Linked DNA regions of Xenopus tropicalis. The protein of the gene in region 1 interacts with the protein of each later gene in a pairwise test. Links are inferred from orthologs where the notes say so. Each region holds a gene or a part of one and is shown on either strand. Other genes may lie near its edges.

Evidence for each region.
Region 2: the proteins of gabarapl1 (region 1) and retreg3 interact in binary tests that used the Homo sapiens proteins (3 or more experiments, as listed by UniProt). The link is inferred for Xenopus tropicalis from reciprocal best matches to the Homo sapiens genes GABARAPL1 and RETREG3.
Region 3: the proteins of gabarapl1 (region 1) and kxd1 interact in binary tests that used the Homo sapiens proteins (3 or more experiments, as listed by UniProt). The two-hybrid records come from large-scale screens. The link is inferred for Xenopus tropicalis from reciprocal best matches to the Homo sapiens genes GABARAPL1 and KXD1.
Region 4: the proteins of gabarapl1 (region 1) and oprk1 interact in binary tests that used the Homo sapiens proteins (3 or more experiments, as listed by UniProt). The link is inferred for Xenopus tropicalis from reciprocal best matches to the Homo sapiens genes GABARAPL1 and OPRK1.

The regions. Positions count from the first base shown.
Region 1 is NC_030683.2:18,809,465-18,817,396, reverse strand, and holds the end of gabarapl1 (gamma-aminobutyric acid receptor-associated protein-like 1), read left to right. Parts: intron 1-4,271; coding exon 4,272-4,350; intron 4,351-4,454; coding exon 4,455-4,573; intron 4,574-5,311; coding exon 5,312-5,377; 3' UTR 5,378-7,675; downstream 7,676-7,932. UniProt on the Homo sapiens protein: Ubiquitin-like modifier that increases cell-surface expression of kappa-type opioid receptor through facilitating anterograde intracellular trafficking of the receptor. Involved in formation of autophagosomal vacuoles.
Region 2 is NC_030686.2:29,102,535-29,110,466, reverse strand, and holds part of retreg3 (reticulophagy regulator 3), read right to left. Parts: intron 3,291-7,932; coding exon 3,184-3,290; intron 1,864-3,183; coding exon 1,833-1,863; intron 1,001-1,832; coding exon 874-1,000; intron 209-873; coding exon 124-208; intron 1-123. UniProt on the Homo sapiens protein: Endoplasmic reticulum (ER)-anchored autophagy regulator which exists in an inactive state under basal conditions but is activated following cellular stress.
Region 3 is NC_030677.2:106,544,587-106,551,568, forward strand, and holds the end of kxd1 (kxDL motif-containing protein 1), read left to right. Parts: coding exon 1-22; intron 23-808; coding exon 809-855; intron 856-2,490; coding exon 2,491-2,723; 3' UTR 2,724-3,682; downstream 3,683-6,982.
Region 4 is NC_030682.2:114,703,008-114,710,939, reverse strand, and holds part of oprk1 (kappa-type opioid receptor), read left to right. Parts: coding exon 1-299; intron 300-5,387; coding exon 5,388-5,740; intron 5,741-7,932. UniProt on the Homo sapiens protein: G-protein coupled opioid receptor that functions as a receptor for endogenous alpha-neoendorphins and dynorphins, but has low affinity for beta-endorphins.

The DNA.
Region 1 (7,932 bases):
ATTTGATGATGCAGACTTCCAGGCATTCTGACTTTAAAGGGGAAGTTCACCTAAAATGTAATTTGTTGTTGTATGTTGAAGCTTTTTAGTTCTGCCTTTCCCCAAGCACTATATCTTTTTCTATCATTTATTTATATATATATATATATACAAAATGCAGAATGAAGAGCACACCAAAGTTAAAATGCACTACCTGGGTGCCAGAGCAGCAGACATGGAATAGAAAATACAGAATGTCGGCACTCACAGGATTTTCACGAAAAATAGTCACTAGCAGTCAGTCATGTTTTAGAGATGCAATCAAGTGGAGTTTATTAATCCAACGTTTCAGTTCCCTACTGGAACCTTCGTCAGGGAAGCACATTGCATCTCTAAAACATGACTGACTGCTAGTGACTATTTTTCGTGAAAATCCTGTGAGTGCCGACATTCTGTATTTTCTATATATATATATATATATATAAATGCTCCAGAAGAAATCGGGAAGTCACGGCGAAAGGATCGGAGACAACAACCGCAACGGAAAGTTCGCAACAGATAGTATTTAACCTTTCTTCAGTTGAACTAACGCCATTACAAATACAGGTGTTAGAACGGGGCTTAAACTTTTGTCCTACATCACAGTTAGATTCTTTTCAGTTACAGGTGGATTTGTATCGTTTTTTTCGAGCATTAAGACTCAAAGTACATTTCACTCATAATATGACATATAATGAAGCTGAAAATACCGAATGTGGTTTTGATATTAGCAAGGTTGGCTTAAGATCACGTAGCCATTTTGTCCCCCCCACAACATATCCGGCAGTAGAAATGTATATTCAAAAAGTTCGGTCTGAGGTTGAGTCTGATATTGAACATAGTGCCCATAAGGGCCCATATAATATGTCTAAAGCTGAAATTGAGACAATAACCGAGCTTAAATCGATGTCCAGCATAACTATCAAACCTTCAGATAAAGGAGGGGCGATAGTTGTTATGGACACGAACAAATATATTGCTGAGATTGAACGTCACTTGGGGGACCTTGGAGTTTATATCCCATTGAAAGGTGATCCAACGGAATCCTTTAAACGGAGCTGGATCACTTATTAAAGCATGCAGTACTATCTAATGTTATTACTATGTCAACGTCACAATATATGTGGATAGACTTTCCCATTATACCTGTAATTTATGTACTTCCTAAAATACATAAGGACCCCATTAATCCACCAGGTAGACCTATAGTGGCTGGGGTGGGCTCACTTACCAGCAATATAGCTGAGGTCCTGGATAAGATACTTAGTCCTTTAGTTCAGAAGACACGCTCATATATAAGAGATACTCATGATTTTTTACAAAAACTATCTAATATAAATGAATTGGCTGATGAAGTATGGCTGGTAACTTTTGATGTTACCAGTCTATATACATCTATACCTCATATTGAAGGGATTATGGCGGTAAAGACACTTCTGATAAAAAGTGGACAATACACTGAAATGGAGATTAATTTTTTTGTGGATATTCTTACCTTTATTTTGTATAAAAATGTCTTTAAATTTCGGGACGGTTTTATCTGCAGATACGGGGGACGGCCATGGGCTCCAAGGTCGCCCCAGCCTATGCCAACTCATTTATGAGTTGGTTTGAGGAGGAACACGTCTATCGTAATGTACTTTTCACTACACATTGTTTTGCGTGGTGGAGGTATATCGATGACGTGTTCCTCCTATGGCGGGGTGACCTGGAGTCCCTGTCCGTCTTCCGTGATCAGATAAATAGGGCCCATCCGGACATTAAATTTACAATGACAGCAGATAGCCACAAAATAGTCTTTTTGGATGTTGAGGTTAGTAGAAGTGAACAAAAATTCCTCACACGAATTTATACAAAACCCACTGATCGGAATCAGTTGTTGAGGTTTGATAGTTTTCATCCTGTATCGGTTAAAAAATCTATTCCCATTAGCCAATTTTCACGGGTCTGCAGAATAGCTAATGACCCAGTTATTGTTAAAGAGGATCTGAACAAAATGGATAAAAAACTAACAAGCAGGGGTTATCCTAAACATGTCCTTCAGGAAGGTTTTTCTAAAGTGAACAGAAATAAAGGGATTAGTCAACCTAATAAAGGCAAAACTACACAACGTATGACGTTTGTTTCTCAATATCATGCGCAAAGTGGTCGGATTCAATCTATCCTTCAGAAACACTGGCATTTGTTAAGGGAATCATATCCTACAACTGAAACATTCCAACAGGCTCCTATGATGTCATATCGTAGGGGCCATACAATAGGTGGTAAATTAATAAGGGCGGAGGTTTCCCCTGTACCGAGAAAATTTACTTTCTTAGGTCCACCTAGAGAAGGTATGTACAAATGTAAAGGTTGCACCCAATGCCGTTTTGTTTTGGTGGGGCCACGATTTACTGACCCCCATACAGGGAGATCATATAAAATACGGGGACATCATACATGTGACACCAATTTTGTGGTATATATGCTTGTCTGTCCATGTAATTTAATTTATATTGGAGAGACTATTCAGAAAGTTAAGGACAGGTTTTCACAACATAGATCGACAGTGAATACTGGTAATAGAATTCTCCCAGTATCTAGACATTGTTTAGAACTGGGACATACAGCTGATGATCTTAGATATCGGGTAATACAACATGTCCCTGCCCCTGGAAGGGGTGGAGACCGTGTTAAAATCCTCAAGAAAACTGAGGTAGAATGGATTCATCGTTTAAATTCTTTAGCTCCATATGGGTTAAATAGGGATTTTGATTTACATCTATTTTTGTAGAATAACCTATTTCTGTACAGTTATTCTTTATTTTTGCCTTAAAAATGCTCTATTTTTGTTTTCATTTATATAATTAATGTTTATGCTGAATAACTAGGACTGTTGTGACTTTAGGTCCCGTTTTTGACATGACTATAATGTGCCAAGTACTGTTTCAACATTATTAGTGATGAGCGAATCTGTTCCGTTTCGCTTCGCCGAAAAATTCGCGAATCTTTGAAAAGATCCGCGAAACGGCGAAAAATTCACGAAACGGCGAAAATGTCGTGCGACAAAAAAAATTGTCGCCCGCGGCTATTATTTTGTCGCGCGGCTATTGTTTCGTCGCGCGCGGCTCTTGTTTCGTCGCGCGGCTCTTGTTTCGTCGCGCGGCTCTTGTTTCGTCGCCCGCGGCTCTTGTTTCGTCGCCCGCGGCTCTTGTTTCGTCGCGCGGCTCTTGTTTCGTCGCCCGCGGCTCTTGTTTCGTCGCGCGGCTCTTGTTTCGTCGCCCGCAGCTATTATTTTGTCGCACGGCTATTGTTTCGTCGCGCGCAGCTCTTGTTTCGTCGCGCGGCTCTTGTTTCGTCGCGCGCTATTGTTTCGTCGCCCGCGGCTATTATTTTGTCGCCCGCGACTATTCTTTTTTGACGCCGGCGACAATTTTTGGACGTGCGGCGAATTTTTCCGCGGCGAAATTTTTCATCCGTTTCGCGAAACAATCCGCCAATGGCGAAACGCAGAAATTCGCCGCGAATCCATGCCTGGCGAAACTTTTCGCCCATCACTAAACATTATGTTTGTATAGGTGCCTTTATATAATATACTAATAGCTCCTTACTAACATATACTGAATTGATGTGCCGGCTTCTGTGTATACTGATTACGCTGACAGTGTGATCCGTTTCCACGGTGACCCGCTACGTCACTTCCGGTTTTCGGTTATACAAGGAAGTAACAAGTTATGTGGATTACTGACTGTGCTTAGCCACGAGGTGCGCTTGAGAAAGGGGGTGAGATGCCCCCGAAACGTCGCGCGGATGTGGCATAATGGACTGATAAGTATAGTTGTTATACTACCTTGAACGATTAGTGTATTCGTTTTTTTTTAAGAAAGTGCTTGAATAAAAGCTATGTTTTACAAGTTTGGAGTGCGGCTCAGTTGGAAGATATATATATATATATATAAATGATAGAAAAACATATAGTGCTGAAATATATATATATATATATATCAGGAGTTGTTCAAGCTTTATTGTAATACATTTTATGTACTGCAAGAGATGCATGACTGATAGCCCTCCAACTGTGACTGCGGTAGCTTGTATGTTAGCCAAAGACTGCCCAGACGGCTGTGAGTTGTAGTTCAGCAGTAACTGGAGGGTCACTGCTTAAACATCCGTGATTCGGGTTTTTAACCACCAACCATCAGGGTCCCCCAGCCTTCTTGCATTGGCCGGGCCACACATCTGCATCTTACCATTGTTATTATCTGTCATTTTAGGTTATTGTAGAAAAGGCGCCTAAGGCCAGAGTCCCAGACCTGGACAAGAGGAAATACCTGGTTCCCTCGGATCTAACAGGTACGGCCCCTGAAAATCCAGCCCAATTTATCTCACATTAGTATTTGTTTCTAATCTGCACTTTTGTGATATTTTTATTTTTTCTGTACCTTTCGTCTTTGCAGTTGGGCAATTTTACTTCCTCATCAGGAAGAGAATTCACCTTCGCCCAGAGGATGCCCTCTTCTTCTTCGTCAACAATACCATTCCTCCCACCAGTGCAACCATGGGACAGCTTTATGAGGTGGGGCCCTTAGCAAAGAGTAAAAGTCAGTCTCGAAAACATCTCTTCCACCAGTTCCGTGCCATTTTATAGCCATATACAAAAGGAAAACTTTCCATCTTCTGCAAAATCATAATAAAGTCCATGTGATGCCTTATAATTGCCCATGTGATAGCACATTATTACCCTTATGATGTCATATCATTATCCATATGATGTCATATCATTCCTCATGTGCTATCACATTATTGTCCAGGGGATATCATATTATTGGCCATGTGACCTCGTATCATTCCCCATGTGACGCCATTTAATTATCCATGTGATGTCATACCATTGCCCATACCGGATAATTTCTAAAATTTCCATAGGTGGTCAATATTAGACATTTTGACGCTGTATTTTAAGTTCTGTCTGTTTTTGCAATGGAGGAATATATCATATTTTTACCCATGTGATGTCATATCATTACACATATGATGTCTTTGCCCTTAAGATGTCATATTTCCCATATGATGTTATGTCATTGTCCCTATGATGTCATAATATTGCACATGTGACATAATATCATTCCCCATGTGACATTGTGTAATTGCCTATGTCATATGATTGACCATGTGACATTATACCATTGCCCATACTGGATAATTTATAAGATTCCCATAGTCGACCAATATTAGACATTTTGACACTACATTTAAGTTTTATCTGTTTTTTCAATGGACGAATGACCTGACAGTCTGGTTTGTTGCCTTGCAGGATAACCACGAGGAGGACTACTTCCTGTACGTGGCCTACAGTGATGAGAGTGTGTATGGAAAGTGATGGCTCAGATGGCACAACCCACCAAACCCAACACCATCACCTCCCATGACCAACCATTTCACAGAATACCCAACCTCTAGGACTGCACAGCACATGGAACCTACCAGCTCTGGATCTTGATGTCTGTGGAAGGTGTAAGGGGAGTGGGTGGGAGTAGACTTGCCAACCTCAGTGGATGGATAGCTCAAGATAAGAAGACATGCCCGTCAGCTAACATGCCTGATTGACTGGTGGCCTTGATTGTGATACTTAGCTTTGAGCCTCCAACACGCTTGGGCTCGGCACTAAATAAAAACCCGTAGGGCCATGTGGTTCCACCGTGCTGAGCTGGCCACCTTTAGGCTTGGGCTGAGCCATCCCTTTATAGTGCAACACAAACATTCCCGTTAGCGCACACCCCACCATGTTTCCTATTGGTCCAGACCAAGTCTTGTCTTTTCTCACCAGGTTCCCTCCCGTATGTGGCAAAGCAACAGTCCATATTATTGTAAATAATGAATGTTTAACCTGCGTCAGAGCTGTGATGGTGGAACACAATTACAATTCACAGTCTTTTTCCATTTATGCTCTTTTACTTTTTTATTGGATTAGAAAACATGGTCAGTGCCCCTAGGGAGGGCTATTGCTTAAGCATTCCTACAGCTACAGCCATTTCTCATCTCCATAGAAATACCAGTTTACTGATTATTTCTTATTCCATTCACTATAAATAAATATAATAATAGGTGTCAGGTTAGCTTCGGTTCCACTAACCCCCTGCAACCAATCAGCAAGCCATTGCCATTGCAATTACCAAACAGCTGATTGGTTGCTATGGGTTACCAGTCCTTGAGCAAACTTTGCACAGGTTATTACATGCCCCCTCCCCCCTTTTTGCACATGAAATGCACATTAAGTAAATTATAAGCCAAATTACTATGTTTTTGAACCAAAACAATGATGACATTTCTGTATGAAAGTGTTTGCGTGTGCATGGCCTCAAAGAGTGGTTAAGTAGGGGGTTATTATATCCAAGATGGATGAACCTCCTGTCTAGATCAGTGCATTTGGCAGCAATCTAAATCACAGGTGCCCACCTATAGTTCATTTATTTTTGGACTACCACTCCCAGCAGCCATTGCAGGCCAATGCAGTTGTATGAATATATGAAAGGCTGCAGGTTGCCTATCAATAGATTATATATCTAATAAGAGGGGTTGCACATATATCTATAGACACACATTACTCACAACCCAGCAATCCATTCCGAAACATCAACAATTCATACATTCACAAGCAATTTTATACAATATAAAAGCCTGATACTGGTGAAACCTGGGATGTGTTCTCTCGTTAGAATGAAGATATAGTACTGTAACACGACCTCGCTTTGTGTCCTGAAATTAACTTGGATAAAACATAATATGTTTTAGTTGTATAATTGTTGCACCGGGCCTGTCTTGTTAGGGAAGTGATACTGGAGTTAAACATATTAAAGAGATTAAAGGGGAAGTTCAATAATGAAAAGGACAAGTAAAAGTCTACCATAATGCACAATTTGGCCTTCAAACTGCCCTGTTGTTGCTATGGTCCCTGATCCCAGAAACCGGGCAGTGGGGTAGGAAAAAGACTGGAAAAGAAATAGGAGAAGAACCAACCTTAGCAACCAGATAGCAGCTGGAATTTCAGCCAGGAGATAAGGAAAACAATTTGAGGCAGAGTAGTATAGGGTATTTACTTCTATAATGGATTTAATATGAACTTCCCCATGTGGAATTGGAAGTGCACATTTCTGAAATGTATTTAAGGTGTTTATATAATATTTGTGTGGATGGTGTGCAGAAATCTGGGTGCAATACTGCAGGTGTCCTCTGGGTGTCAGTGCAGTGCAAAAGGCAATTTTTTTTCCCTGTTAAATAATACTGACTGTGCAAGTCCCAGCACTTGTATAATTGCTGGGCTGAGGGCTGTAGATTGATTTTGTTGCAGTGTAATACAAACTGTCACATCGGTAGAGACCTTGTGATGTGCAACTCCCAGGACCCCACTCATTTGTAGGGTGCTGGGAGTTCTATCTCACAGCATCTCAAGGGCTGCAATGTAACATATGAAGGAAACTTTTTAATGTTATAATAAATGTTAGTTTTGCTTAATAGATCGAGTGACTAAAGTCTTTATCAATAGTAACAGCGAATAGAGCTAAAACATCTGAATTAAAGGAGTACACATCCGCCCTGTGCGCTCATCTGCAACCATTCCTTTTAGATAACACTACAGAGCTGCTATTGTCTTTGTTAAATAAATCTGTTTTCCATGCAACCATATTGTTTTTTCCTCTTTGGCCTCCTAATAGAATTTCCATTTCTTAAAGTATATGTTATATATGGGCAACCCTACTGGATATGTAATAATATTTTTCTGGTGCAGTAACCATAGCATGCAAGCAGCAGTGAGCTCTAGTACAGTGCTGGAAGCTAAGGTTTGTCTGATTCAGGGTACTATAGTGGCATATATTCTACCCATGTAAAGCTGGCCATACATGTGCCTTGTGACAAATTAAGCAGAGGTCCACTGAT
Region 2 (7,932 bases), on another chromosome or scaffold:
TGTTCAAGTAAAGGGTTTGTAATTAGTATAATGTAGGGATGAACTCCTTGTTCGCCAGATCTTACTGTAAATATGCTTTTTGGTACAAATGACCATTAATACAAATGAAAATATTCAACTTACAAAGCAAATATGACAGCACAACACCAGGAATGTATCCACCAAGAACAGCTAGGAAAGTCAGAAAGCTGCAGGCCAAAAGGCAAAACTGTATATGAAAAGACACAACAAGCAATAGGTTTACATCAGTCGACAAATACATGCAACATAAGAGGCATTCATCCATCAGTTTTGGCCCAAACCTCTTCTTGGTTGGTCTACCTTATTTATTTATATCAAATAGTAGTCAGTACACACACTAGTAGTGTGTTTGGGTGTAAGTCCTAAAGCAGCCACTATATTAGAATGATATGGACAACATTCCATAAAAGCAGGTCACACATGCCTATAATGGATAACGACTCTTCAAATTGCAAACTAACAATTACTGGTCTGTGTATATGGGCCAAAATGACACCCTTCCTAAACAACATCTGACTGACAATCTGCCAGATATCTATAAAAATTCCACTGGGCAACGACCGACTGCATCGGATTCTGGATGCAGTGATGCAAATACCTCTATGGTGATCCAATTGCTGAGCCCAATTCTTCCTACCACCTCAATGGCCTTCTTGTTTGGTTGGCTTGAAAGCCTACAAAACTCTATAATTCTTTTGGATGCAAGAAACCATATTTTAATTATTTTGATAGATGCCTGTGGGGTGGGGGGAATCACCATTTCAACAGCCTTAGAGAAACAGGTCATTTGTCCATATAAAACCAGGTAAAATAGTTTGAGGCGTTCAGAATAGTACACAAAATTTGAATTACCTTGCCCGGATTTTCAGTTTTGAAGAGCAGAAGATTCCTTAAAAAGTTGTAGACACTGACCCATGTATCAGCTGCATGATAGCACAGCTCTGGGACGCTGAGCAGCCTTGGATGCACATAGCCCCAGCTGAAACACACCAAAACTCATCATGAAAACAAATCTTTTAACATGTAGTAAGTAGAACAAAAAGACCTAAAAGTTAAAGAAATAGTCTAGAGATGCTAGATCTTATGTTTTCAGCTTTATGCCCAAGGATCACATGTTCTGGCTTGCAGTCAGTTACATGATCTTAGGAACAATATACAGTATATGCACAGTACAAGGCTCAGATTTACATGGCAGTATAGAAACCAGTGCATGTGAATTATGTGGATGTCTGGATGCCCCTGAACCTCCTTTTCTGCTAATTTTTTGATAATGTCAAACAACCAGAGCACACGGAGCATGTGCAATGCCACAGGCACAAATCAAACAGCCAAACAAAAAATGGAAAATTTTAAATTTAATATTATAGGGCTACGGTAAATAATTGAATATACACATTTATATGTTAGTTGTCTGGGGATATAAGTAATAATTCTTCCTGGTGTCACCAAAAGCAATAAGAAATCACGTCTTCTCGCTCTAAATGTCTATGCAGTCTAATCTGATGTCCTGTTCTCTCATAATAGGTCTCCACAAATCTATGTGACATATTATATATAGTATGTATATATTACTATTATATATAGCATGTAGTAGTATAAAAGAGATAAAGCAAAACGGAGCTGAACATAAAAAGCATAAATGTTTCAGCTGTCTGGCATCAACCTCAGTCAGACCCCAGAAGCATCTGCTAGGGGTGGCATAGAACTACAACTCTCACTTTCTCATAACTAAGGTAGGTAAGGTGTGGCTAGTTCTAGAAGAACTGGTATGGCCAAGAAAGCAATAAGGCAGTAAGGTATAACTATCTCACCTTTCATTCTCCAGTTCACTGGCTCTTGCTGCTGAAAAAACACAAACAGAAATAGTGAGAACTAATTAACTAATTTGAATATTGTATCTTTTAAAGCACCAGGTATATTATATATTCTGTACTGTCTCTTTACAGGGGCAGAATTGGTAGGTAGGTGGTGCAATGGAACAAAGAAAAGTCTTACCAGTGAAAGTCCTTAATGGGGTTTTGCTAGAAGGGTCTGCATTAAGTATTGCTCATGATCTAACCTATGTTTACATGCCATGGGCTTAACTAAACGTGTCCCCTTAAAAGACAATTCACCTTGTAAGAAGACTAAAGGTGGCCATACACGCACCGATATTATCGTACGAAACCTCGTTTCGTACGATAATCGGTGCGTGTATGGCATGTCGGCGAGTCGACCGATATCGCAGGAAGCTGCCGATATCGGACGACTCGCCGATCGGACAAGTTTGAAAATTTTGATCGGGCGCCATAGAAGGCGCCTGACCAAAATTCTCCCTTCAGAGCTGAATCGGCAAAAGGAGGTAGAAATCCTATTGTTTCTACCTCCTTACCTGCCGATTCAGCCCTGAATGGTGTGTGGCGGATCTTACGATGTTTCGTGCGACCGATGGTCGTACGAAACATCGTCGGATCGCCACGTGTATGGCCACCTTAACACTTTCCAAATTCTTTAGGAATGGTCACCCCTTTGTTAATTGGTATGTATAGACAAGTCTGAAATCTTGTCTATATCAAGGTTTAACCATGATAACCACCCCATGGATGTTGGAGAACTATTGTACTGTGGCAAACTTCAGGAAACCTTGGTTCCAGTGAAAGGACATTATAAAAACTGTATGTATTTAGTTTTTCTTTGTTGCCCAGGGGCTGATTTGCTATAAGCAGACCTGTTTGTTAAGCTAAATGGCATAATCATATGGCTTTCGATTTAGTCCTGACCAATATGTGTGCTCCGATAGCGTTTCATGTTCATAACAGATAACTCTGATAAAGTATGTAATCATGCTGAAAGCATCAGAAAGAAAGTTTCTAAGCAGCACCAACAAGAGACCTGTGTTTATTTGCATGATACTTATGCAGGAAATATGGGGACTTATCCATATCTTAGCCTTTATAGCCCAGGGCTGGCTTTGCTGTGAGAAGATAAGCTCACTGGAAGACTGCAATTAGAACTACGGCTTTGCAGAATACTGCTTTCAGTTTTGCCCTGGCCAGTAAAGAGTATGTGAGAGCTCATATAGGAAAGAAGAGTTGCATATATACACGTGGAATCTTGTATAGATAGAAGTATATCAAGTTTTCAGTGACAGCAAGGGAAGATAATATCAAGAATTCTCCTTACCTCCCAGTTCAGGCCACAGTTTGTTCTTCCACTGATCTGCACAAATGATTATCATTAGTCCAAATGCTACCAAAAATATGATTCTGAGAGAGGTCAGGGCAAAAAACCTGCAAGTAAATAAAAAAAAGATAGTTGAATAACCAAATTATTTTGCACTTTTTACATTTTCACCACAATGAAAAATGCATCAGCTGGGGGCACTGTTCCGGCAGCACCCACATTATTCCTGTTGTCCCAGAGATCTGAACTGTCCCGATAACACACATGCACAGGAAAATAATAATTTCAACTTTAAAGTTGCAGTCCGGATTTTTACTCTGTGGGACATATGCAATGCTCAGGACACCCAAGCGAATCGGAAGGGCCATTGATGGCATTGCAAGGCAGGAATAGTACCCCTTGTAAGATTAGAGATTATTATTTAGTGGGGGTTGCAAAAACTCTAGCACCCCCGGTGAATATCACTTTGCTTTAGGCCCAGCTCTTTAGCAATATTTCTGGCAAGGTTATGGCAGTGCATAACTGGCACATGCATTAAGTTCAAAAAGGAAAGAAAATGAATTGAATCCCCCAAATTACAACAGAAGTTGTTCTTCCAATGCGACCTTAGATCTGTCAGACCCACCATATATGTCTGAAATACAAGGTTGATGACTCCTTATGTATATGATAGTTAACCCTTTGCACAAGATCAAATGCCCTCTGCAAAGTCTTCTACTGGTGCCCCCTTACTTTTGCAAAATACTTCAGCGTCAACTGCCGCTTTATCCCAACTATGAAGTTATATATTTTGCTTTTTACCAATCACGTTTCCTCCATGAAACAGAATGTTTACTGTTTCCTACTGCCACCTCATCTCCTTGAAACAGTATCCACATCACCTCTGTCTCTGCCACCTCATCACTTACAGTGTCAGCACTACATATACATACACTACATATACATACACTACATATACAGCCCCAGTCTCTCTCTGTGGGGCATTTACTTGATTTCTTTCACCTCCCCTCCATTTCAGTTGATCCAAAGCATTTCTGCCAGACTCTAACCTGGCAATCACAGCAGTCACACTAGTAGCCATGTATCTTCTCACTTATTAAAAAAGAACTCATGGGTTTTCTTTAAAATATTTAACATTTCTGGCAAGTACAGCTGCTTATTTTTCACAGATTCTCAGCCCTCGCTTAAAAAAAACCCTTTTCATACCTTAAGATAAAACCTCTTTTATTTTATTCTAAGCAGATGCCCTCTGTGAAAAAGGTACCAGACTGAATAGTTCTCTTATATGTGTATCTCTAACAGGGATTCATCACAAACATCTTTAAAACCGTAAAGGGCACCCATCGCCCTAAAACTGTTTCCCCACCAAAAAATAGCCGCTTACAGTGTTAGGCTGCCCGCACTGGGAGGGAGCTCCAGGTTTGGGGTAGCCATATTGTGGCACTTGCATGCCCATATCAAGGAAGTGCCACAACTCACTCATAATGCACATGCGTGTGATCCAGGTGGGCGAGTCGCATCCACTGCTTTGTGCATAAGGAGTGAGCAGGGTGTCTCACTTATCATGCACATGTGCACTAAATAACATGGCCTCTCGCACCGGGAGCTCCTGGCCTAGCACCAGCAGGGACTGATTTTTAAAAAAAAAAACAAAAAAACTATTGTCCCCCCCAACCCAAGTGCGGGTTCTATTAGCCTGCACCTCTGATGGGAAAAGCAAATCTAGGGTGATAGGTGCCCTTTAATTCCACTTCTCTGCACTCTTTGTATCTCAATAAATGGCCTCTTTGTTTAAGCGAAAACCATAATGCATTAACTACATGGAATTTAGAAACCCTGCTAAAGGTTTAAATATGTAAAACACTTATCCTATGAATCTTGTGTCTTCTGGAAAGATCTAATGGTGAAACAGAGATTTTATGAATTGCTCCCAATATATAGTTTTACATAGACATTAGATCCCTATTAAACACCTCCAATGTAAACGACTTCAATCTGTTCAGTCCTTCTTCACAAACAAGGCCCCGCTTAGGGCTCTGGTACACGTGGAGATTAGTCGCCCGCGGCAAAACTCCCTGCTCCCGGGCGACTAATCTCCCTGAGTTGCCTTCCCCCTGCCATCCCACCGGCGAACATGTAAGTCGCCGGCGGGATGGCAGACGCGGCGGGGCGATTTCGGGAAATCGCCGAAAAAGCCTTGCGAGTCTTTTTCGGCGATTTGCGCGAAATCGCGCCGCCGCGTCTGCCATCCCGCCGGCGACTTACATGTTCGCCGGTGGGATGGCAGGGGGAAGGCAACTCGGGGAGATTAGTCGCCCGCGAGCAGGGAGTTTTGCCGCGGGCGACTAATCTCCCCGTGTACCAGAGCCCTTACTCTTCAGCAGTAGTTTAAGTTGTTTTTCTTTGGACTTTGATCACTGGAAACCAAAACTGTACTGCATATTCTAGAGGTTTCCCAGTACTTTGTAAAAGGGAAGTATTATCCTCAGCAAAAAATTTTTTTTCGATATTTCCCTGTTTATCACTGATGAATAGATTAAAGTGGATTAATTACCAAATTCATGGATTATAGAATGATCTACTGGCATTAAATGTATATCCAGTGCTGCCCTAGGCACATCTCTCCAACCACCTCCTCCTCTACCTGACTAGCACATACACTTTACATCCTATGCATGTATTCCAGCTGCAGAGATACAGGGATAACCCCTCCCATTCTTTGCTGGATTTAGCTGCAAGTGTCCAGTGGCAGACAAGGGGGTCACATTTTTATTTTTCTATATAGGCACCAAGGAGGTACTTCTCCTTCAAATTTTCATTTTTGTAGGATGTAGGCATGACAATTTGCATTTGGTCTTCATTGTTTAGTTGTATTTTTTATGTTTTTGTAGTTTTTTTGTTTAACAGCTTTCCAGTATGGAATTTCACCAGTGATCTGGTTGCATTAAATCTACAGTGCCCGTATATAAAGACCAAAGTGTCTACTACATAGACTTTTCCCGTCTGATCCATGCATGCCTTGCCATGTTAAAAAAAAAGACTGCTGGCAGAGAAGGGTTAAAATGTAGAGCTCTGTGTATATAAGTACAGCTATATAAATATATTGATGGAGAGCAGCAGGAGTCAAAACACCCTTGTCTACCCGTCACTGTTTCTAATACTATGGAATAACACACATGGAGCAGTAAAGCCATATAATAATCCTGCCTGGCAAAGACCACTGATGTCTGTTGGGTCTCCATATTCTTGTTGTAAGATCTGATCACTATCCCTTGATTTGTCCCAGTGCGTGGGAAGAGATCCACTTGTTTTGCAAGACAGATCTTATCAACTATGGCTAGCTTAATGGGCAGATCTTGGTGCCAAAATGCTTAAATGAGTGTTTTTGTGCTGTTATCTGCATGTCACCCCTCCATTTGTATCCAAAAGGGAGACAGACCACTCTTTTTTGACCCAAAAAATCATGTTTCTTTCAGAAGAGAATATGCTTTCCACCACTCAAAAGTAGCTCAATATTCTCTGGAAATATTATAATACATTTGTTTTTTTATCTTTTCTTTCCAGGTCAGTGAGAGTTAGGGTGAAGACACATGGAGCTACTAGTAGCAACTACTTGTTGTGGCTACTAAAATAGACAATGCTGATCATATACTGATAATTGTCTCTATGTGTGTTTTAGCAGAGGCAACTCTCAGTATTGTCAGGGTATTTTCTGGCGTTTAGTAGCCGTGAAAAAGTAGCTGCTACTATTAGCTCTGTGTGTCTTCACCCTTAAGGGCTCTGGTACACGGGGAGATTACTAATCTCCCCGAGTTGCCTTCCTCCTGCCATCCCACCGGCGAACATGTAAGTCGCCGGCGGGATGGCAGACGCGGCGGGGGGGCGATTTCGGGAAATCGCCGAAAAAGACTCGCAAAATCGCGCCGCCGCGTCTGAACCCTTTTTAAGCACAACTTTATTCACCTAGTACACCAGAAATTATGATTTGTAACAATGACCATTTTTCTTATTTAAGATTTTGGCTAACATTTAATTTTGCACCCACTCGTTTCCCAGGACAGAAGCACCTCAGTAAGTGAAAATTGCCAGCTACCACTAATAGAAAGAAAAGAGCTACACTGAGAATGGACAAGAGAGTCAAGCAGCTGTCAAAATATTCTGCCCACCCAACCCCCAATGTGGCTTGATTCTTTCTAAAACTAGCAGGGAATGTACCACATGATTTTTTTTTCCCCAACATCAGTGCCCAACCTCACTAATGCTCTTGTGGCTGAATGGAAGGAAATCCAACCAACAATGTACTAACACCTTAGCGAAAAGTCTTCCTTGAGGAGCAGAGGGTAAAGGCTGTTGTCCCAGTGAAGGGAGGAACAACCACTTGGAATAAGATGCAGGTGCGAGATGCTTTTGGCTTTAGCGTATGAACAAGTAATACAAATGGTAACAATTTATGAAGTAGGCAACCTGGCTTACTGCTACTGGGAAACAACAGAAGAAAATAAACTTTAAATGGAAGGAAAGGAAAACTGCATATAAATAAATGAAAAACAAAGCAATTGTAAAGTCCTAATTTCTGGAAACAACTTAGAAGTTGAACCTTCCATTCTACTACAAATCTCATTTGCACATGGGGTACCCAGACTGCCAGTAGTTCTTTTTCATAGATCAATCAAGCATAGATGCAAAATACCCTTGCACTTGTGGCACGCTAAGCATTTTGCTCCCTGCTGCCTTTGGGTGCCAAACAGC
Region 3 (6,982 bases), on another chromosome or scaffold:
ACATCATCTTTAGAAGAATCAGGTACAAGATTTACATTTTATTCTGCTCCAATGACAAAAATCTGCTCTGATTGCACGTACTGTATTTATGTAAGTGAAAGCTATTAATTATTATTTCATGCAAGTGATAATTAACTAATTTATACATATAGTAGGAGGGAAAAAGGAAAAATGCAGTGCTCCTTTATATGCTAGGGAACTATTGAAAATTAAAATCTACTATAAGCCTTATCTCATGGAAATAAAACAAATTTCTAAATATAAAATTAATTACAAATTCTGTATCATTTCTCAAATAATCAGTTTCTCTACACTATCCCTCACTCTGCAGTTTGTCTCTACATTCAGCTTTGTGTCAGAGTAGGTTATTTTGAAAGACGGTGAGCTCTAATACATTGGCAAATAGAGCACACACCAATGTATTCATTCTAACCATCATACAAAATCTGACTGTCTTTTGCATGATGTGAGACAGTTTACTGAAATGAGAGTAGCTTGATAATTATACAAAATTTTTAACTGATTATATTAATTTAGTTCCTTATTTCCATGAGGTTAAACCACTATTACATTTTTGTGATAATTCCCCTTTAAGTGAAAAACATACTGCTGTTGGAAGGTGCTGGGGCTGTCATAATGTGATCACCTGGGAACCCTACATTTGGTATTCCCTAGAAATCCTATTATAGAGAGCACATCATCTTTACATCATCTACAATTAAAACACAAAGTTGTATCTGAAATATATATTATTGCTATCTAGAAATGATCTGAAGTCATCAGTGTATTTTTGTTCTTATCCATGCAGGATGTTAAAAGGGAAACTAGCAAAGCAATATCCAGAGTCTTTCAACAGTAAGTTCCTTATAATTTGGTCCTATATGACCTACAGTATTTGACTTATAATATTATCAAGCTAAGTACTTAGATATTAAAAATGGTAAAGCAAAAAGAAAACAACTTGTTTGATCTATGTTTTAAATAAAATAAAGGTAACTGGCATGTGAACATATCCTTATGCCTCGCCATCAAGTACTGGGTTTCTTACAGGTGGATCATTTAGAATTCTGTGAGGGTATGCCATGTGGCCTGTTAGTGAGGTCCAATAAATAACCTGTGTGCACTGCAACTTGCACCTAATGTGTTACTACCATTGCAAAAGTTGCATTCATTTTATAAATAGGCAAAAAGTTGTGGCAGTGAATGTGGGCATTGCAAAGCTTGTGATTGGCATGTTATTTGGCTGGCACAAGTGGGAGCTCCTATAGATGCAATATTCAAAGGGTGTCTAAAGAATGTGTAAAGAACAGGGCTCCCTTGTGCCAGAACATACTGTATATTTCTTCTTATTCTGCAAAGCAGGCACAGCTGGTTTTACTGATACATGGTGAAAGTACAGAAGCACAGGTGCATATACACTCACCTAAAGGTTTATTAGGAACTCCTGTTCAATTTCTCATTAATACAATTATCTAATCAACCAATCACATGGCAGTTGCTTCACTGCATTTAGTGTGGTCCTGGTCAAGACAATCTCCTGAACTCCAAACTGAATGTCAGAATGGGAAAGAAAGGTGATTTAAAGGAGAAGGAAAGGCTAAGTCACTTGGGGGTGCCAAAATGTTAGGTACCCCCAAGTGACTTAGAACGCCTACCTTGTACGCCGGGCTGGTGCCCCTGTACGGAGGGAACAGCACCAGCCCGGGGCACCTGTAGACACCGCTTCCTCCTTCCTTTGCGCGCTGCCGGCGAAATCCGCCGGCCGGCGCATGCGCAGTAGAGTGAAAAGCCCACTTTAATGTTTAAGTTCGGCTTTTCACTATACTGCGCATGCGCGCGCAAGCGAGGAGGAAGGAGGAAGCGCCGGCAGCTACCCCGGGCTGGTGCTGTTCCCTCCGTACAGGGGCACCAGCCCGGGGTACAAGGTAGGCGCTCTAAGTCACTTGGGGGTGCCTAACATTTTGGCACCCCCAAGTGACTTAGCCTTTCCTTCTCCTTTAAGCAATTTTGAGCGTGGCATGGTTGTTGGTGCCAGACGGGCCGGTCTGAGTATTTCACTATCTGCTCATTTACTGGGATTTTCACGCACAACCATTTCTAGGGTTTACAAAGAATGGTGTGAAAAGGGAAAAACATCCAGTATGCGGCAGTCCTGTGGGCGAAAATGCCTTGTTGATGCTAGAGGTCAGAGAAGGGTATTAGAATGGTGTTCCTAATAATCCTTTAGGTGAGTGTATAGGTCCAAGCTCTCGGTTTTGAACCTAGCACTGTGCCTTGCTACAGTAAATAAGCTCTTAAATAAGCTTTACAGTATAAAGCTTTAGAGTGCCCATGCTCCTAATTGTCCAGAACTGGGGAGATCTGGCACTGGGTAATGTGCCCAGGCAAGGCAGAAAAGTGATGGTGGTTGGGGGTCACTTTACATTTGCTACTGAATGCATGTTTGTGTGTGTTTGGAAGTTAATTCATAGTTTTGTTAAAATTTCACAGATGTTCATGAATCTCCCATCCTAGAAGATGATGATGATTTTGACCCAACCCCAAGAAGTGCTGCCACAACTATTGCCACATCAGAGCAAAGCACAGAGTCCTGTGACACAAGCCCCTCTATTATTTCACCTGCTATGAGCCAAGACTTTGAGGACTTATCCCAGGCACCTTCTGACACTCCATCTGTCAATGGGCAGATTCTGACAGATGAAGAGGTGGTCCATGAGGATTAACAGACTAGAGGGTGGAAGCAATTTCTAAATTATGGTTGTGTGCTCTTCTTCAACCTCCAGCACAATGCATTGTCATCCTTCTGCCACCAAGGAGTTCTTGTTATGCTGCCTGGAAATAAGCACCCTGCATTGTCTAATTACCCTAAGAAGCAAAACATGGATCAGTGTAGAGGAAAAGGGTGGTTGATACAAGATTTAAGTTTGAGCTAGCTCTTCCCAGGACTCTTAGCTATTGATTTTTGGAAAGTTATTCCTGCACTTTCAGCTTGCTATTGGTACCATTACTGCAGATGCTACCACCCACCTCTCCCTCCATGTGCTTTTTTTGAACACATGCTGGTACTTGAAACTTTTTCTTTCCCTTTTTGGTCAACCATTCTCTTACATTGTTTTTGCTGCTGCACTTTAACTAGCATTTATTCTTAATTTTGTGCCCATTCCATGTTTCTAGCATCAGCTTACCTTTCTTTTAATTCCCTGTGTCTTTTGATCTTTTTGTCTTTTTGCCATATTTGCCATAATTGTATGTAGTTCCTGTACATCTGGTTAAAAAAATACTGCAGGGAATTTTAATTTTTTTTTTCCTGAACAGCACAATCACAAATTTGATCCTTTCCTCATTGATTGCATTTAATGTTTTATAAGCTCAAGCCTTGGGTCACACAGTTTAATGTAGACCGACTTAATGCTTTGTGAGAATACCTGAAAGGAATTTTTTAGAAGCTTGAAAAAGGGAAGAAAAAAATTAAAAGCAAAAGATTTAACTTATCCCAAGAAGGTATCCGCATATCTTTAGAGCACATATCTGTATCTGCTTGAAAAGGAAGTGTTATTTGTTCTTACAAAATCATGGTATTTAGCACTTATTTAATTATTAATTTTTTTTAAGCTTTTTCAGCATCCCTTACAATAAAATTAAATTATTTGTAACAAATATTTGCTGGCTCAGATATAAAAAATGGATAGATATATTTAGCTGCTTCAAGAACTGGCCTTTTTTATATGTATTTTGTCTCACTTTTTCTTCGTTTATTGGGATCACTGGGTTTATGGCACATGCCTTAACATGAAGAGATCTGTGGAATTTAAATCTTTAAAGTGATGATGCCTTTAAAGGAAAAGAAACACTAAAATAGTAAAAAAGCTATTCACTTAGCTAACCACTTAGTATTTTGAATGCTTTAATAGAAAATAACTGCTAAAGGAAGGAGCAGCATCCACTATGCGACGATCGATTGATCGAGCCTAGCCTGACTCCTTCCAATACAGAAGGAAGGCTAGGCTCGATCAATCGATCGTCACATAGTGGATGCTGCTCCTTCCTTCGCCATATCGCCATATTTCAATTGACAGGAAGCCAAGTTTTAGCAGGTATTTTCTATTAAAGCATTCAAAATACTAAGTGGTTTGCAGGATAGGGCAGTTATTGGTGCAGGGTAGAATAGCTTTTTTACTTAAAAAATGTTAGTGTTACTTTTCCTTTAAGGGAGAAGGAAAGTCATTTGGCATTTTACTGCCAATAGATTCGCCACATTAGTGCCACCTAGAATGCTATATTTATTCTGCAAAAAATGTTACCATATATGAGTAAAGAGCCCTAGAAACTTTCTCTGTTTGTTTAAGATTGCAGCCTTCGTTTTAGCTTGGTCTTCCAAGCTTTCTGCTTGCAGCTTTAGCTCTAGCCCTCCGATCACATATTACTAAGGGTGGGGGGAGTGAGTTTTATGAATTCTTATGGGAGGGGGAGCAGGAGAGGAGAGCACTGCACAGACTCCAGCCCAGGGAATGAAGGATTTTTCTGAGAGAGGAAGTCAGATACCCTAAGAACATGTTTACTCAGTGCAGCTTTTCTGTGCATGCTTATGGCTGTATTTACATAGACCTTTCTGATAAAGCTTACTTAGTTTTTACCTTTTCTTCTCCTTTAAAGCTTTGGACAACTGAACATGACATGACATGTTTTTGCTCAAAATGCATGTAATTTATCAAATTAGGGCTCGATATTTTAACCAAATCAATCAGAAGTTTGAATACAAAAATTATGGCTTTGGTGCTTCTCTGACAAATAGTGTGATTTTTATCTCTACCATGTGAGAGACTTTTTATTTTGCATGATGTATAAATGCAGCTTTAAATTTTCTGACAAGTGTAAACTTAATTTAGGTAGCTCATCTGTAAATAATATAATACAGGTATGGAATCCGTGATCCGGAAACCTGTTATCCAGAAAGCTCCGAATTACGGAAAGCCTGTCTCCCATAGACTCCATTTTAATCAAATAGTTCAGATTTTTAAAATGTATTTCCTTTTTCTCTGTAATAATAAAACAGAACATTGTATTTGATCCCAGCTAAGATATAATTAATCCTTATTTGATGCAAATCAGTCCTATTGGGTTTAATTAATGTTTTATTGTTTTTTTTAGTAGACTTAAGGTATGGAGACTCAAATTACAGAAAGACTCCTTATCCGGATTACCCTTGGTCCCGAGCATTCTGGATAATGTGTCCTATACCTGTACCCAGTCTTTTGCAGAATACCAATATATACACTAGTAGTAGGTGGGCATAAAATGATCACCAGTGTACTTGCATGCTATTAGACACCACAAGAGTCAAACTGTCCAGAAGCAAAGGCTTCTGCACATGTGCCAAGCTAAGAAGGAAGACAGCATCTAATTTTAGCTGTGCTTAATGTGAGGCACACAGTGATGTATTTAACAAGCTTTTTAAATATTATTTTGAATCAACATGTTTGAGTGGCGCAAGGGCATACTTTGAGCTGTATTTTTCTAGGCACACTCACCTAGGAAATGCTGTGCCTTCATATTCAATGCCAGCTTGTAACAAGCACAGTATCAGTGTCACAGATACATGAGTACATACTCTTTATTTGGGAGCAACACAAGCATGAAAAAGCTCTGGAGGTGCCAAATAAGAGCCATAATTAGCTATTTGGTAGCCCCTTGCTACCAAGTATGTGAACTGGCAGTGTACAGGAGCCTCTGTTTGGCATTACATTGGGTTTTTATGCATAAAAACTTGCCTCCAAGCCAGAAATTAAAAACTAAGTACCTCATTTGCGGCCACTGGAAACAACATTTAAGCAGTTGGTGAGCAACATGTTGCCTACAATCCACTGGTCAGGGATCGCTGCTCTGTATTCTGTGTCCACAGAATACACATAAAGTAAAATAAATACTGTAGATAGGGCTGCAGTGTTTCACTGGGAAAACATCTACCTACATCAGCATTATACATTGACAACATGGGTGTTAATACTGCAGTGTCATTTTTTTTTTCAATTTTTCTTTATTTTATCAAGAAGATTAGATAGGGAATACAGAAAGAAAATGGGGAGTAGGGGGTAAATATGAATACAAAGAAAAGGTGTAAATAAAAATAATACAGATATGGGATCTGTTATCTGGAAATCCATTATCCAGGAAGCTCCAAATTATGGAAAGCCTGTCTCCCATAGATCCATTTTAATTAAATAAATCGGATTTTTTAAATGTATTTTCTTTTTCTCTGTAATAATAAAACAGTACCTTGTATTTGATCCCAACTAAGATTTAATTAATCCTTATTGGATGCAAAACAATCCTATTGATTTTAATTCATGTTTTATTGTTTTTTAAGATAGATCCTAAGAAGATCCTAATTATGGAAAGATCCATTATCCAGAATACCCTTGGTCCCGAGCTGGTAAAAATGAAGTTTGGTGCCAATGTAATAGGGAAGAAAGACAAGAATATAGGAAGGATGGTATTTGTCTCTAGATAAAGTGGCAACCCTAACCCCACCTGGCCTTGTGCCAAAATCCTTGTGAGCCACCTTCCCCATCCCAATATAAGAGGTCAGCGATCTGCAAGAGTGTGACACAGAGGGGAGAGACAGTTACACACACAGCACCAACATAAGGGCAGTCACTGAGCAGGTAGGAAGTGAGGGCTGGCTAGGCCAAGGGATCAGGTTAGCAAGGTACAGAGAGAAATGTGCAAGACAGGAGCTGAGCGTTGTGTGTACAGCATCATCAACCCTGGCCGTACAGAGGAAACACACAGTGAAAAGGCACTGTGTGTAGAATTTTCAGCCACAGTTTCTATTCCTTATAGTTCAGCTCTTTTTTTTTTCTCCAAGTAGAAGGCAGATTGTAACAGTGATTCGCCCAGCATTGAGCCCCATCAGAGCCATGGGCATGTTTGGTTTTTGTAAGGTAGATAATTGGATTTCACCAGGTTATCTGTGCACAGGGAA
Region 4 (7,932 bases), on another chromosome or scaffold:
GAATCTCCAGTACAAATTTTTCGTGAGGAAGAAGCAATTATCCCAGAACGAGCTCCAGTGGGCTCGACATGCTCTTCCAGCTGTGCTCCTGCATGTCCTTCCAGTTGCTTTCCCAACACAAGCTGGCTGCTAGGCTGGGATGATCATGATAATGTCAGTGCGTATCCTGATCTACCACTAAATGAAGGCAATCACACCAGTATCTCACCAACAATTTCAGTAATAATAACTGCAGTCTACTCCATGGTTTTTGTGGTTGGCTTAGTGGGAAATGCCCTAGTGATGTTTGTAATAATCAGGTAAGTTTTATTAAAAAATAAGCTTTTTTTTAATAATTGTTAGCATGTTTTATTATTTGTAGTCAATAGATTTTTCTGATTAAAGGGGCAGTATACACACCTTTTCAACATGAGTTCAATGAATAGGGCATGTGCTGAACAATTTTTTGTCTATTGTTTTATTAAGAAATATCCATTGTTTGTGTTATTTCTCGCACTTAACAAGAATATGAAGACAGTTTCACTTTAGTACTTCCTATCAGGAGCTGATAAAACTAATTACCAGTCTACCAAAAAGCCCTTGATAATGAACTGTTTTAAGGCTGGAGCTTAGAGAAGGGAGGGGTTTGTTTTATAGGGTGCTCTGAACAAACAGCCCTGTTTATAGAGAAAGTGAGGGGAAGAGTTCAGTGAAAATAGCCCAACTTTCACATTAGTGCTTTATAATGTCATAAAATAGGATAAAATAGTTTTCTTTCAATTAAAACAATAGGCAGAATGCAGTTTATGTATTGTGTTTATAGCAAAGATGTTTGTGTGTATACTGTCCCTTTAAAGGTTTTTATCTAAAATTGTCTCTGGTTGCAGTTAGGGAATAAGCACCTTGCACCTTTTCTAATGTGCCAAAATTGAATAAAAACCTATTTTTCTTTGCAAAACTGAGCATATTTAAAACACTTATCATGTGTAAGCATAATCACTGATACCTTTTTGAATCTCTTTTATTAGCCAAATGGCAGTCATTCCTTGATTGCCCTGGAACCACCCATGCTATTTTTGAATGATGGTGTTTGCAATGTCAATAATCCTTCATATATTCCATCATTTGATGTTTTGGTATCTAAGATTCCCCTTTAGTATCTTCCAGAAGCCTTAGCATTAGTATTGTACAGGTAACTGCCAAAATGAAAGGGACTATAGAGTTTGAATTTTGCAGTGACTGATTGTCATGTATGTACTATCCCCAAAAGGCATTTTCACTGCAATTACAGTGCTCTGGTGCGCTGCGAAACAACATTAGTCTTGCTCCCTGGAGCATCTGTTTTTTCTCAGAATTAGTGCTGACTTTGGGTCATTTAACCCAGTACTAATAGCTGGGATAAGACTGCATAGCTGAGTGCAACCATGTCATCAGTCAGCCATGTAGAAATGTTATTACACAGGAAACAATTGGCATTTGTTTCTAATTTATAATAAACTTTTTTTTTATATGCTTCCATTCATTTTAGTCACACATTATACCATTTTTCCCATTATACAATATTTCTTTCATGCCAAATAAGCTTTATTCATATGGCTTGAAGTTACAAATGCAGATGAGATGATCAATATATCCCATAATTATTCAATAATAGCGAGATCACTGAAGCTAAAAAATCGTATGTCAAAATAGTCACTTTACAAAGCATTAACAGAATCTATCATCGTAACATCATTGCCCTCAAAGTGAAGAACCATTTTCACTTCTTCAAGGTAAAAGTTCAGTTCCTCAGGTCTAATGGGGGGGGGGGCTCCTGTTCTATGTGAAAAAGATTCGCCGCTATCTGTCTACAATCCCCTCTATTGTACTTGTACAGAGTAATCATGTCCCCTCGCCAGCGACAGTCTAACCTCATAGTTTAAATCTTCCATCCCCTTTACCAGTTTAGTTGCAGTCTCTGCACTCTCTCCAGCTCATTAATATCCTTCTTAAGGACTGGGCAAAATTATGTTTTCATCCCTTGAGTCAATCTCTTTTTTATTCAAGATAATAATTTATTCATTTTAGCAGCCACTGTTTGACACTGTCACCTAATATAAGTTGGATATATTTCCATAGTTGCCAAAGGTCCAAAAGATTTTAGTGTATATATTGTAGGCTTTTAAAAATGAAAAATAGTTTAACAATCTTACATCCAGAAACCAATATCCATACTCTTCTCTCATTCTATAAGTCTTGAATAAACAAAGATCCACATTACTTGTATAACTCTCCTGATAAAGAAATTCTGAATGCTGTTCCATCTGACACTGCAGAAATAGAATGAATGTGGTTTGCTCTATTAATGTAGACATACTGATACAGTAGCAAAGACCTCCCTGGAAATTTCCGTTATTGCCATCTATGTAGTGCCAAATGAACAAATGATTAGCTAATCATGTCAGATGATAAAAATGCTGTTCACGCTACTATTTTTCTGTTTTTGCCTGTATCTCACATTGTGTTAGTGACATTGTTACTCTGTTCATGTATCTCTTTCCCTGTCAGTTACAATAAATTACTCTTTTACATGTCAGATGAGCCTACCTTGGACTAAAGAGCAGTACCTGCTAGAAATATTAATCATTTTTGCTTTTATCAGTAATTGGCTTGGAAATGGTGTCTTCATCTTGCAAGGAAAAATAAAGCAGTAATGAAAAAATTAATAATGATGAGTTTAATCATTTTAGAAAATGTTAACAGCACCAAATGATTTATTTTCTAAGAAGTAGTAGAAACCATCAAATTGGTTGTTCTTTATTTTTATTTTTGTTTTTTAAAAAAAATACCACAGCTTTGTGGGGGGTATTTTTTCACAATTTATATTTTTTTGCACAAAATCCTTTTTTCGACAGAAAAAAACTTGATTTATTATGCATCAAAACTGCAACAAATCTGAAAGTAAAAATGAAAAAAAATATCTAAAAGCTGTTGAGGTTATATAAAAGTCAAATCTATCTGACGCAAATCATCTTCTAGCATGCAGGGCTTAAATTATGTATGTACTGTATAGATTGTGTGTATATTTTTATTTCAGTAGTGCTACTTATGTACGCAGTAATGTATAGCAGAACAATAAATTAATAGGACAAACGCGTCATTACAGTAATTAATACAAATAAATACACAGTACAGATACATAAAAGATCCTAAGTGTCAAAGAAACAAGAGGAAGTGCTGCAGAGCTTACAATCTAAGTGGGAGGGTAACAGACACAATAGGAGCATATTAAGTAACAGAATAATAGAATTTTTTGGAGACTGCAGATTTAAATTTTTTTCTTTTAATGTTCACCTATTTATTAAACTACAATATAAATTTAGTTTAAACAAAAATTCTATGCAATTTTGACTTGTCATAATTATAAAGTACTTTGACCAAAATTATTGTTGAAATTTGTTTGCCAGCTCAGGCCAGAACAAAATCTGATTATTTCCAATGGAAGATTGAAGAATACATTTTAGACAAAATGAGAGAAGAAATCCACAATATTGTACTGTTCTCCCTAATATTTTACCCTGTCTTAGTGAACTATATCATGTAATCCTTTTGCAACAAACTGTTCCAGGTACATGGTCTACCAACAGGTCATAGTTGCACATCACTACGAAGCATGGCCAGTAATGAAAGGACTAAAGATGACTGCGAGCAACAGATGCAATTCCCAGATGTTTTTCTATACATTGTAGCAAGAACATAAAACTAGATCTCACATACTGTGTGCTTCCTAGTGACCCATTATTATTAAGACAAATTTAGTATTCTTTTTTCACTATTAGGCATCATTTTAAACTTGTTGGAAGTACTTGACTAGATTGCAGCAAGAACTAAAATATCCAATTAACTGAAACTGATACAGTGTATATAAATATGATGCAACCATGTGGTTGACAATTGTTCATTTCTCAACCCAACTTCCTTACAGTACATAACACTGCTACACCACCATGGACTGTGCGGTCAGTGGCACACTGAGCTTTTCTTTATGCTCTGTGCAAATGATTTGTATGTTTGGGGTTTACTCATCCCCATAAATGAATTATTTCCTAGTTCCTGTTATACTGGCAAACATAAGAGCACTGTAATTAGTTAAGAGAAGGGATTCAATTAATCTTGTGCTTCTGGCAGTGGCACTGCTAATCATATCTACATTTGATTAATAATTATTTCACATGGCCACAATGCAATGTCCATGGTTAAGTTTCTGTCTCTTCTTCCATTTGTACTATTGCTTCTAATACTATCTGCCAGTCTTATTCATGGAATCCCCTATCATGGCATACTGTGTCATTGCACTTACTCCAAAGATGCCCTTGCTTAATTGTATGAAGGTCAGAGTTTGAGTACATAAAATGAATTCACAATGTCTCCCACTGTAACAGAGCATTATCATAGGTTTCATAAATATATTTCCCTTCTCTACTCTCCCCTTTTATTTCTAATCCCCAACATTTATGTGCCACCCTCCATCTGGCAGATCCCCGCCCCCTTACCTTTCTCCCCTACTCTGTTGGAGTGCTCCAGTGCTTAGTCTGCAACTCTGCTTTTCTCACTCTGCCATATATCTATGGAAACTAAGTTTTTGGGTTCCAGTACTTTATCTATGCAGATAAAACCCAGTCCTAAAGTGCTGATCTCCTTATAGTCACAGAACTACTGAATTTGGGTATACACATTCAGATGAAATTGGCAAATGTGGTCTTCTTTTTTGTTTCTTTAACCAAAGTAATTGTAAACCGCTAGTGTGTTTAAATGAATGAATTCCACTTGGTATCCGCACAAGGAAATGCTGTTGTCCACACACTAAAGGAGTTGTTCACCTTTTGAGTTAACTTTTAGTATGATGTAGAGAGTAATATTCTGAGACAGTTTGCAATTGATCTTCATTTTTTATTATTTGTAGATTTTGAATGATTTCAGTGTTTGTTCAGCAACTGGAATATGAATAGGAGAGGCCTCACAGAGCAATGGCTTTCTGGCTGCTGGGGCCAGTGACCCCCATTTGAAAGCTACAAGGAGTTAGAAGAATAATTAGTAAAAAAATAATTTTAAAACGTTAAAAAAAAATAAATAATGAAGACTAATTGAAAAGTTGCTTTGAATTGACCATTCTATAACATACTAACATACTTTTTTTAAGGTAAAACCTTTTGGCTGATTAGATAGATTAGATAGAATTCTAATGTAATATTATAATTTAATAAAAGCATCGTTTGGGGTGTTTACTTAGATTCTATGTTTATATTCGAATGTGTTATTCTAGCAATATAAAGGCCTTTTCTACCAGAAAAGAATTATTGTAAAGGTTTTTCATTTAAATGGAGCAACATACTTTCTTCTTATTATTATATTTTTTTGTATTCCAACAGATATACAAAAATGAAGACTGCCACCAACATTTATATATTTAACCTGGCGCTAGCCGATGCCCTAGTTACCACTACAATGCCCTTTCAAAGCACTTCATTTTTAATGAATTCTTGGCCATTTGGAGATGTCCTCTGTAAAATTGTGGTTTCTATCGACTACTATAATATGTTTACCAGCATATTCACTTTAACCATGATGAGCGTTGATAGATATATTGCTGTTTGCCATCCTGTAAAGGCCCTGGATTTCCGTACACCTCTTAAAGCAAAATGCATCAATATATGTATATGGATGTTATCATCCTCTGTTGGAATATCTGCTATTGTACTTGGAGGGACTAAAATTAGTGATGGTAAGTACACAGATAATAAACTGCAAATTACAGTGATTTTGCTTGCAACGTGTAGCATTTGGGCATCAGATCAGGGTGGAACTGCCACTGCCATAAAGACATCTTAATGTTTTCTCTTTGGGCACCCAGATGAAGTTCAGGATTTAAACAAATTAATTTAGAATCCATTATGTACTTTGTTTTAATTTTATTGTATAGAGAAATATTGCTGTATTAAAGAAAACACTCCCAACAGCATGGGGGCCCAATTTGTGTCCTGATCAGCAGGTTAAGTATCCCTGCTTTAAAACTTCACAATTGATAATCATTATAGTTTATTCAGAGCACTTTATAATGAATTGAAGACAAACAGTAAGGCAGAAACAAATCAAGCACAATAATGCTTTATAAACTGAGATATGAGGTCAGAGGCCCTGTCTGTGAGTATCTATCCCAAAATGCAGTTGGGACAACTCAGCACTCTTATTCAACACTTTAAAAAATAATTAGATGATGCTCAATAGTGCTTAATTGGCCAGTAGATCCACCTAGTCAGTGAAGCACTGGTATTTCCACATTACAAAGGTACACATTTAGCTAGAGGATGCCCTCAAAACTAGAGATGTAGCGAACTGTTCGCCGGTGAACTAATTCGCGCGAACATCGAGTGTTCGCAAATTTGCGAACTTTTGGCGATGTTCGCCATTTTGGGTTCGCCGCGTTTTTTTTGCGCCGCTTTTTTTGCCTCGTTTTTTTCCGCCGTGTTTTTTCGCTTTGGTTTTTCGCCTTTGCGTATACATAGGAATAGCTTGCGGTTTTTTTTTGGCGTTATTTTTTTGCGGTTTTTTTTTGCGGTTTTTTTTGGGCGTTTTTTATCCAAAGTATTTTTCAGAGAAATTGTTGCCCTTGATCCCCCTCCTGCATGCCACTGTCCAGGTCGTGGCACCCTTTAAACAACTTTAAAATCAGTTTTCTGGCCAGAAATGGCTTTTCTAGGTTTTAAAGTTCGCCTTCCCATTGAAGTCTATGGGGTTCGCAAAGTTCGCGAATATTCGCGAGTTTTGGCGAAAGTCCGCGAACGGGTTCGCGAACATTTTTGGCGATGTTCGCTACATCCCTACTCAAAACCATGAGGAAATGAGAGTACTTTGGAGACATGAGGTCCCTTTCCATTTGGAAGGCTACTATTAATAATAAAAAATAACAAAAGTTGTATAAAGGTCATACCTTTATTGGCTAACTAAGATAATCATAGCAAGCTTTCAGAACATTCTAGTTCCCTTTTCAAGCTGATTACAATGAAGCCCTGGGTCTCTCTGATATATATACAACATTCAGCTCATAGATCAAATAACCAGAAAAAAGGAATATCTATGTGTGTGGAAGGTGTTAACAAAGTGATATAAAAGGAGGCCTGCAAGGGACAAACAGATAAGGTACAGAATAATGCGGATTGAAGTGGGTTGATATAAATTAGGGTAAATTACTGAAGTGTGAAGCAAAAGGAATTCCATGTGATTAACTGGTACAGTGTCTCTATAGAAGTTTGTATTTCTGGCTTGGTGCAGGCAGTTCTTAAGGCAGTCTCGGGAAATCGCGGCGCCGCATATGCCATCCCACCGGCGATTTACATTCAAGCCGGTGGGATGGCATATCGGGGATATTAGTCGCCCGCAACAAGGGAGATTTGTCGTGGGCGACTAATCTCCCCGTCTGCCACGGCCCTTAATGTTCTGAAAGCTTTATATGATTATCTTAGTTTGCCGATAAAGGTATCACCTTTATACAGGTATGGGACCCATTATCCAGAATGCTCGGGACCAAGGGTATTCCGGATAAGGGGTCTTTCTGTAATTTGGATCTCAGTACCTTAAGTCTACTAAAAAATCAATAAAACATTAATTAAACCCAATAGGATTGTTTTGCCTCCAATAAGGATTAATTATATCTTAGTTGGGATCAATTAAAAGGTTCTGTTTTATTTCTACATAAAAAGGAAATCAGTTTTAAAATTTTGAATTATTTGATTAAAACGGAGTCTATGGGAGACGGGCATTCCGTAATTCGGAGCTTTCTGGATAACGGGTTTCCGGATAAGGGGTCCGATACCTGTACCACTTTTGTTATTTTTTATTTCGAAAGGGTTACCCTGTAATGTTTTGACAGACTAGCACAGTACATCACCTTTTCCTGAAGGCTACTATAATACACAG